Coturnix japonica: one gene and its partner. The protein of the gene in region 1 interacts with the protein of each later gene in a biochemical or structural test. Links are inferred from orthologs where the notes say so. Each region holds a gene or a part of one and is shown on either strand. Other genes may lie near its edges.

Region 1 (4,055 bases):
CAAAGCACCATGTTCCAGCATAGTCATTTCCATTAGCTTTGCAATTTCGCCAGTGCTGAACAAAAACCTGCATGTTGTGCTCACCAAAATCTGTGCCAGTGGAGGTGACAGCTGTTCATGGCCAGATGAAAAATGACTTGACTTTCATGTCACCATCACCACTGTGGAAATGCACCACCTCGCTGAGCTCATATCCACTGTTTGCTCTCCATAAACTTTCAGCAAGCATCGATAAATGCCAATGGTTGCCATTTATTTTCTGCACGGACGAATTTAATGCAACACCTTTGCTTCGCCCATGGTTCCACATCAGGTGCCATTCAGTCAGATTGCTCCTCCACACCCATCTTTCACGCAGCAACGTGTAATGGAATACTGGTGGGGAGGTTCGCCCTCTGCTGCCATATTACCAACATATACCTCTGACATCGAGGGCAGCAATAATAAAATAGGAGGCATCAATTTTGGAGCAGACCTAGTAAAACATGTGATCTTAAATATATATTTAATATATATTATACTAATATATAAATACTAATTTTTTTTATTTTGATATGATAATTGGCATCCACTCTGGTTTAAGGATGAGCCATCTTGGATTAAGGAGAAGAGATGCAATACAGCTTACCAGAACTCAGACCTCACCTCTAACCTGACTTCATTAATAAAAAGGAAAGTGTCCCTTCTCAAATACTGTACCATAAAGACAGAACATAATAAGACAATATAATAAAATAATAAGAGTCGCCTGTTAAAAGTGACTACTACTCTACAATAAACCATAGAAAAGCATTCAAAGGTTGTGACACACAAATTATCACAAGGGAAAGAAAAGCACTGCTCCAAAAGCAGAGCTGCCTGGGACAGGTGTTCAGACTTCCAGAAGAATGTCCATAAAGTTCAACAGTCATCCATCCAGATATGCAAGAAAATGGGCAGGCATAACAGCTGACTTAAATTTGGCTGAACAGTGTAAAAACCTGCTAAATTAGACTGAAGGGGGTGGGAACTGGGAGCAGAGAAAAGCAAACAGAAAGCAGCAGCACTGCTGGGGGATGTCGTTAAGAAATCCTCTGCCCCATGTGTTGAAACCTGTCAGGGTTGTGAAAGGTAACGAAGGAGACTTAAGTAGAAACAAAAACAGCATAAAGATGATCAGGGAACACTTGCATTCATTAAGGAATGGATCCAGAAGTCTCCTAAAAGTCTTCTGTCTCTGCCTGCCCTGTTAGCATGCTTGGCTCCCCATCCCTTGTGGTACAGCTGGCCCTTGCTGCTTCCTGATGGTCATCAACCAGATGAAATTAAACACATGACTCTCATTTAACTGAGATGGAGCACTAAACTACTTTAAAAGTTTACACAAAGCTCATAGTGCAAATACCACACAGATCCACAATTAGTTTACCAAGTTTTGCCTTATTGCTATAGCAAATACTACGTATTTTCATTTCAGACACTGGTGGAATCCATTGGTTTTGGTTCAAAGGAGGTTTCACAGTAGTTCAGGAAAGCCATTCCCAGCCAAATGGAGCCAAGATTGGCATATGCTTTCATCAAAGTTAATGCTCGTTCTTTGTTGCCAAACTGGTATTGCTGCCCAGCTTCACAGTCTACTATTGGGTATGATATTCCTTAGTGAACCTAGGGCAGAAAATAAAGGTGAGGGCAATTCAAGTGCCTTGCAGGACACAGCTGGGGGTCAGAATGCCCTTGTTCCAAGCCAAAGGCCTGTGTCAAAAGACAACAGTAAAGCTGGCCAGATTCCTCTTTTCTAACCCATGGCATTGTCATAGCCTTTGTCAGCTGACATCCTGACCGCTGGCAAACAGCCTTCGTTGGCTTACATGGAGCTTTTTCGCCAAGGTGGGTTATGCCCGTTTATTTCTGCACTTGCAAGCCCATTTCTTGCTGCAGCTTCCTCTCCACCCAGCAGCCCCTGGGAGTGGCCGAGCTGCGTGGGGCTGGCAGTATGGCTCACCTACCCTAACCAGGTCCTCCTCCTGGAAGATGCCCAGCTCCAAGCACTTCACGGCCACCTCTCTGGTCTGCATGTTATCCACAAGCGTGCCGTGCAGCAGCTGCACCAGGTGTACGCAGAGGTCGTGGTCGTCCTCCTCCCGGGGCGAGGGCAGCTGGCTGGGGTTCACGTAGCAAGCAGCCAGGTCACAGCCACCTTTCTTCAACGCCATCACGAACTCATTGAACCACCCGGAGCCGTGGGGTCCGCGTTCCACGGCGCGCAGCAGCTCCTCGGCCCCATCCACCTCGCCGCGATTCTGCGCCGCAGTCCGCACCCTGTCCTTCTCCTCCGGGCTCAGAGAGTGCATCCAGTCCAGCACCGGCAACACCCGGATACAGCGCTTCAGTCGCGGCCTGAAGCAGGAGATCATGTAGAGGAAACGCTCGTCTCGACACTCCTCCGACATCGCTGCGCTGACGGCACCCGGGCCGGCTCTGCTGCTACCGGGAGCGGGGGATACGGCGGCGGCCGAAGGAGCCGGAGTCGCCGGCTCGGCGTCAGCAATTCTCTGGCTGCCGCAGTTCCCGGGCATTTAACATGAACCCCGATGTGGCTTTCGGTTTCGTTTGCTGCTCGCTACGTAACGGCAGACATTCCCAACCCCCGTAGGGCAGGGCAGGGTACGGGGAAGTGTTGATTCCAAACAATTGTATAGTTACAACGGGGACGCTGAGTTTGAAAACAAAACTGACGCGTATCGTTCGCTTTCCAGAGCGTGCATTCCTAGAGCTGCTCACAGCTCATCCACGATCTCTATACGAGAGGGAGCACCGGGGTGGGGGGGTTGAGAAGGGGGAGGAGGAAGAGGAGGAGGAGGCGGTGGAAGGGAAAGATCAGCGTCCGGCTGCAGGACACGTCCTTTTCAGAGCGCAGCCAGTTGTACCTTCGTGTGCCTTTATGTCACGCTTCACTTTACAAACCCCACGTACTGATCTGTCTTGTCTGTCAGTCCTTCGGGTGCAGCCTAAAACGCTGGGGTCAGAACCGGATGGGTTTCCACAGTGAGCACAGCACAGCAGAACACGTCGGGCTGCCCACACAGGCAGCTGTACCAGCCCTAACGTACTGCCCATGAACTGGTACCTGACTTGAACTTAGCTCTGCTACTGGCTCTAACAGGTCAAAACTGTAGGCTTTGGATATTTGTGCAAATGAAATCTTTCTTCACAATTTATTTTTCTTCTCCATAACTAATGGTAGTATTCCAGACTCTGGTGATCTTTGCTATATAGATGTGATTCAAATTTAAAAATAAAGGAATAAATCTGAAGGCCTGAGGTCACTGGTTTCATCCTGCAGAGATCCCAAAGTGCACCTTGGAGGTGGCTGCTGTCCTCGTGTAAAACAGAATTAATTCACGTCAATCTTGGGTTTCACCCAGCAGCACTGCAGGATGAGTTCAGTTCAGAGATGCTGCAGAAATTCGGTTTTCTCTCTTGCTTGTATTTACTGTACAGTCATTTTCAGTCACTTTTCATTTCCTACTTCAGTTGTTTTACTTTCGTTTCCCTGCTGCTGATCTCTGGTTTCACTCACTGCTGTTTTGTATTACTGCACTTCGGAGTTTCACTTGAACAACTTCCTCTTCCCACTACTTTTTCCCACCTTCATTCCTAACATACCTACCAGCCCGTGTTTCTGGCAAGGCCTCGGGACCTGCAGCCGTCACTAAGGCACAGTTTGTGTAAACAGATGTTGTGCACACAGCAGTGTTACCTGAGGCACAGATACCAGAGCAGTCCTTTGTAGGGTCAGAGAGTTTGCAGACACTACAAGGATGCCTGTACCTTACTTGTGTCAATGCAGCCTGATGTTGGGACCACTCTGGGGGTGGCTGTTGCCACCTTCTAGGAAGGAGAAGATGTACAGGGCTGCTCTGGAAGTAATGCCTCCTATTTTTATTTTTATTTTTGGGGGTGGCTGTTGCCACCTTCTAGGAAGGAGAAGATGTACAGGGCTGCTCTGGAAGTAATGCCTCCTATTTTTATTTTTATTTTTATTTTTATTTTTATTTTTATTTTTATTTTTATTT
Region 2 (4,045 bases), on another chromosome or scaffold:
AACAATCCAGGCCAACTTGCATCTCCTTCCCCTTTCTGTGCTGCAGTTCAGGGCTATGCCAGCTTTCATTTCTGTGTTCAGATTAATGAATCAGATTAAATACTCTGAGTGATGTTGGTGATGCTGACCTGTCTTTATTGGGAAGAGCTTGGCGTACCAGCCAGGTGGTACAGAGCTGGGGGAGCTCTGTGGAGAAGCACAGCTCTTCTGGACTGGATCTCCTTCCCTTCTTGGGCTTTGTAAGGAGGGAGGAGCACAACTACACAGGTGGTGAAGACATACAAGGTCAGCATTTGTGAGGCTGGATTCTCCTAATGGCTGCTGAAGCACATGAACATCAGTCTCCTTCACCTCACTCCCTACACAGCCTGTGCCAGATGTGGATGAATGGAGCACAGACAGAGCTGGCACTGCTGCAGTCCATGCTTTCTGCTCTGCTTTGCAGCGACCTCAGTGCAATCTCTCACTTTCATGTTCTAAATAACTCCCCAGACACATCCTAAGACCCTCCAGCCTGCAAAGGAGCTTGCATGGAAGTGCCCACCTGCTGCCATTGCTCAGCACCATTATCTGCAGGGTGCTCTGCTGCTGTCCTGAGGGGTGAGCACAAAGCAACAGCATGCAAGGAGGTTGCAGAGCTGTTACAGCTTAACTCCAGTAACGTGTGTGCAGCAATAAGGGGCCTGCAAGGGCAAGCAGACAAGGAGTGCAATGAGAGGTTGGGAGCAAGTGAGCGATGTGAAGACAAGGAGAGGGGGTTTGGTGCAGGGCAGTGCAGTCCCTTTAGGCTGCAGGCTCCAGCTGAATGAGGGCTGATTGCCTTGATGCCTGTGTTGTGTTTCAATGCTCAGCCCTGCTGATGTGCACTGAAAACAGGCAAGGAGCAGACTGGGAATGCCCACCTTGCTCTGCAAGCAGCGGTGCCTGAGCACATGAGAGTAGCATGAGCTGCATAATAAGGGAAGATGTGAGGTTGGGCTGGCTGGGTTGTAGCCTTTATCACTGCAGAAAGGAGGACAAGCAGCTGCTCTGACAGATGCTCTCTCAAGGAGCAACGATTGACAAATGAAAGAGTGAAATTGAATTGCACAGAACAGTGCAATTCCATCATTCCACAGTGCAAAACCCATCCAGTGCATGGATACAATGGCATGCCTTGCTCTGAGCCCTGTTAGCCCCTTGCATGGTGCTGTCAGTGCAGCATTTCCTGCATCCTGCAGTGCTGTGTCTGGGCAGCTGCACCCACTGGGTGTCACTTTAAGGGTACTGCTGGCCCAGAGCCCTGACCCGCCCCTATGCTCAGCGTCACACATCTCTTCCTGCTCTGCAGGCCGCTTCCAACCCTCCTGCTCCTTTCCCCATCCCCAGCTCAGCATGGCCTCCCCCACCTCGGAGAAGCTGGAGGACAAACTGCTGTGCTCCATCTGCCTGGAGCTCTTTGTGGTGCCCATCACTTTACCCTGCGGGCACAACTTCTGCGAGCACTGCATCGACAACCACAGGAACAAACAGGAGCAGGCGGTCAACGGGCCCAAGAGGGGCTACACGTGCCCTACGTGCCGCTACAGCTGCGAGCAGCATCTGGAGCTGAAGAAGAACGTGACGCTGAGCGACGTGGTGGAGCTGGCACGGACGGGCAGGGTGCAGGCAGGGGGCTGCGAGGTGGCCCATGTTGGGCTGTGCTCGTTGCATGGCCGCCCGCTGGAGCTGTACTGTGAGGATGAGCAGCGCTGCATCTGCTGCGTGTGCGTCGTGCGGAGGTGCCAGCAGCACCGCACGGCTCTGTTTGAAGACGTGCGCTCCAGGAAGCAGGTGGGGAAGAGATGGGGGGGTTGTGTGCTGAGCTGTGTGGCTGTCAGGCATGGAGGGCGCCCCAAAAGGCAGAACAAGGGGAGCCCCGTTGTGTGACGTTTGTGATCCCTTTGGTTTAGAAAAAAGGGGTGTAAAGGCACGAAGCAGCAAAGGAATGCAGCCTGCCCTGCTCCTAACATGGTCCTTGGGGGCAAGGGGCTGCAGTATGGGCTGCCTCCCTCCGCAGGCTCAGCTGGAAAGGTCCCTGGAAGAAGCCCAGAGAGAAGCAGAGAGGATGGAGCAGGCGCTGCGGGAGCTGGAGGAGCGGGCACAGAGCATCGAGGTGAGGCCACAGCCACCCCAGGGCTGGGCTGGGTGGGAGCACTCCACACCTCACAGCCTTCCATCCCTGCAGGACTCTTCTGAGAGGCTCCAAGCTGTGATCCTGAGCAAATTTACCCACCTGGAGGAAGCGCTGGCCAAGTTCCGGGAGCAGATGGTAGCCAAGGTGAAGCAGGAGGAGTCAGTGGCTATGGGACATATAGAAAAGGACCGGAATGCATTGAAGGATCATCTGGAGGCTCTTGGGCAGCACCGGGACCAGGCACAGCACCTGATGGACTGCACTGACCATCAGACCTTCCTCAAGGTACCATTGGTACACCCCAAATCCCACCCGTAAGGATGGAGAATGGGCATTTTGGGGCTGCCTATGCAGGTTTGGGGGCTGTCACATCTCCCCTGATATCTGTGTGTCCATCTGCAGGAGTTCCTGCAGCTCCCAACCCTGCAGAGCATGGAGGTGCCACCGCTGGTGGAGTTCAACGTGGCTGTTGTGATGGAACCCATGAGCGAGATCCTCACTGCTACCTCCAGGCTGCTGCTGGAGGAGCTGCCTGCCTCGCTGAGCCCCAGTGCCCCTGAAGCACCTGACCCCATTGCCCCAGGTGAGCTTCAGGCTGCCCTAAATGCCTCCACCTCACTTTGGCCATTGAGACTGTGCTGGGACACACGGGGATGAGGGCAGGTATCTGGGTACAGGAGGGGCTGGGTGGTTCCTGCGTGTCCCCTCCTTGCTGCTCACTCCCAAATGTGCACCCAATGGGGTTCCCTTCTCCTCTGCCCTCAGCAGCTGGGTGACATCACCCTCCATGCCTGTCCCTGTCACCCACAGGCCCGGTGCAGCCCGAGGAGACACCAATGAAGGTGGTGTCCAGCCCTGTCCCCAAGTGCCGGCTGCGTGCTGAGCTGCTGAAGGGTGAGGAGCAGGAGGGGGGGATGCTGCAGGGCTGGGGCAGCACTATGGGGTTGGGGAGAGGCTCCTTAGTAGGGGGCAGCAGCACAAGGGATGGCTTTCCCACAGTGCCTGCTATGGGGTCAGCCCCTGCTGATCTCACCCCATTCCCACCCTTCCCGATGCCCCAGATTTGGATGCAGCACTGTCCCAGTGCCAGCACCCAGAGGGGTGTGCAGGGCTGATCCAGTGCCCACCCCACACTCAGCCCTTGGTGCCCCTTCCCTTTTCCTTTAGGGACCGTTTCCTAAATGCTTCCTTTCCCATCTCCTCCCTGCTGAAAAAAAAACAACCCAAATACTTGTAATATTTAGGGTGCTTTGGTCAGGTTGCTTTTCCCAGCAAGGCAATCAGTGCATACAGGACCTATAAGGGTTTCTTCCACTGAGTCGCATGAGCTGTTCTCAGTGTTATTAATAGAAAAACCAACAACATTTATTAGCAGCAGCCAGGAGCCCAGAATAGCCAATGGGACCAGGTCAGTAAATCCCACAACCCCATATCTCCTCCTCAAACCCATCTGTTTAGGGGGAAGGGGGGTTCTGGTGGGGGCTGCCATGAACTTTGGGTTGTGCTGAAGCATCCCCATGTCATTGCTGTCCCCAGATCACCGAAACCTCACCTTCGATCCCGACACGGCCAACAAGTACCTGGAGCTGTCGTGTGCTCAGCGCAGAGCCAAGCACGGCCCCAGCACCGCTGCAGGTTGGCAGGAGCGCAGCCATCGCTTCGAGCCCTGGCAGGTGCTGTGTGTGCAGAGCTACGGGCAGGGCCGCCATTACTGGGAGGTGACCATCTCCAGCCATTCTGTGGTGCTGGGGGTGACTTACGGTGGGCTCTCCCGGCACAAAGTGAAGGGCTGCAAGTTCAACATTGGGCTGGATGGCGGCTCGTGGGGGCTGCAGGTGAGGGAGGACAGCTACGTCGCCCGGCACAAGGGGCAGGAGGAGAAAATCCAGC

What was found.
Region 2: of the proteins of IFIH1 (region 1) and TRIM65, one has a biochemical effect on the other in vitro, tested with the Homo sapiens proteins (2 studies listed by BioGRID, with this or other methods). The link is inferred for Coturnix japonica from reciprocal best matches to the Homo sapiens genes IFIH1 and TRIM65.

The regions. Positions count from the first base shown.
Region 1 is NC_029522.1:25,614,624-25,618,678, forward strand, and holds the start of IFIH1 (interferon-induced helicase C domain-containing protein 1), read right to left. Parts: upstream 2,801-4,055; 5' UTR 2,556-2,800; coding exon 1,986-2,555; intron 75-1,985; exon of another isoform or gene 74-74; coding exon of another isoform or gene 1-73.
Region 2 is NC_029533.1:4,022,707-4,026,751, forward strand, and holds the start of TRIM65 (tripartite motif-containing protein 65), read left to right. Parts: upstream 1-1,245; 5' UTR 1,246-1,374; coding exon 1,375-1,812; intron 1,813-2,038; coding exon 2,039-2,134; intron 2,135-2,206; coding exon 2,207-2,440; intron 2,441-2,557; coding exon 2,558-2,738; intron 2,739-2,965; coding exon 2,966-3,049; intron 3,050-3,691; coding exon 3,692-4,045. UniProt on the Homo sapiens protein: E3 ubiquitin ligase that plays a role in several processes including innate immnity, autophagy or inflammation.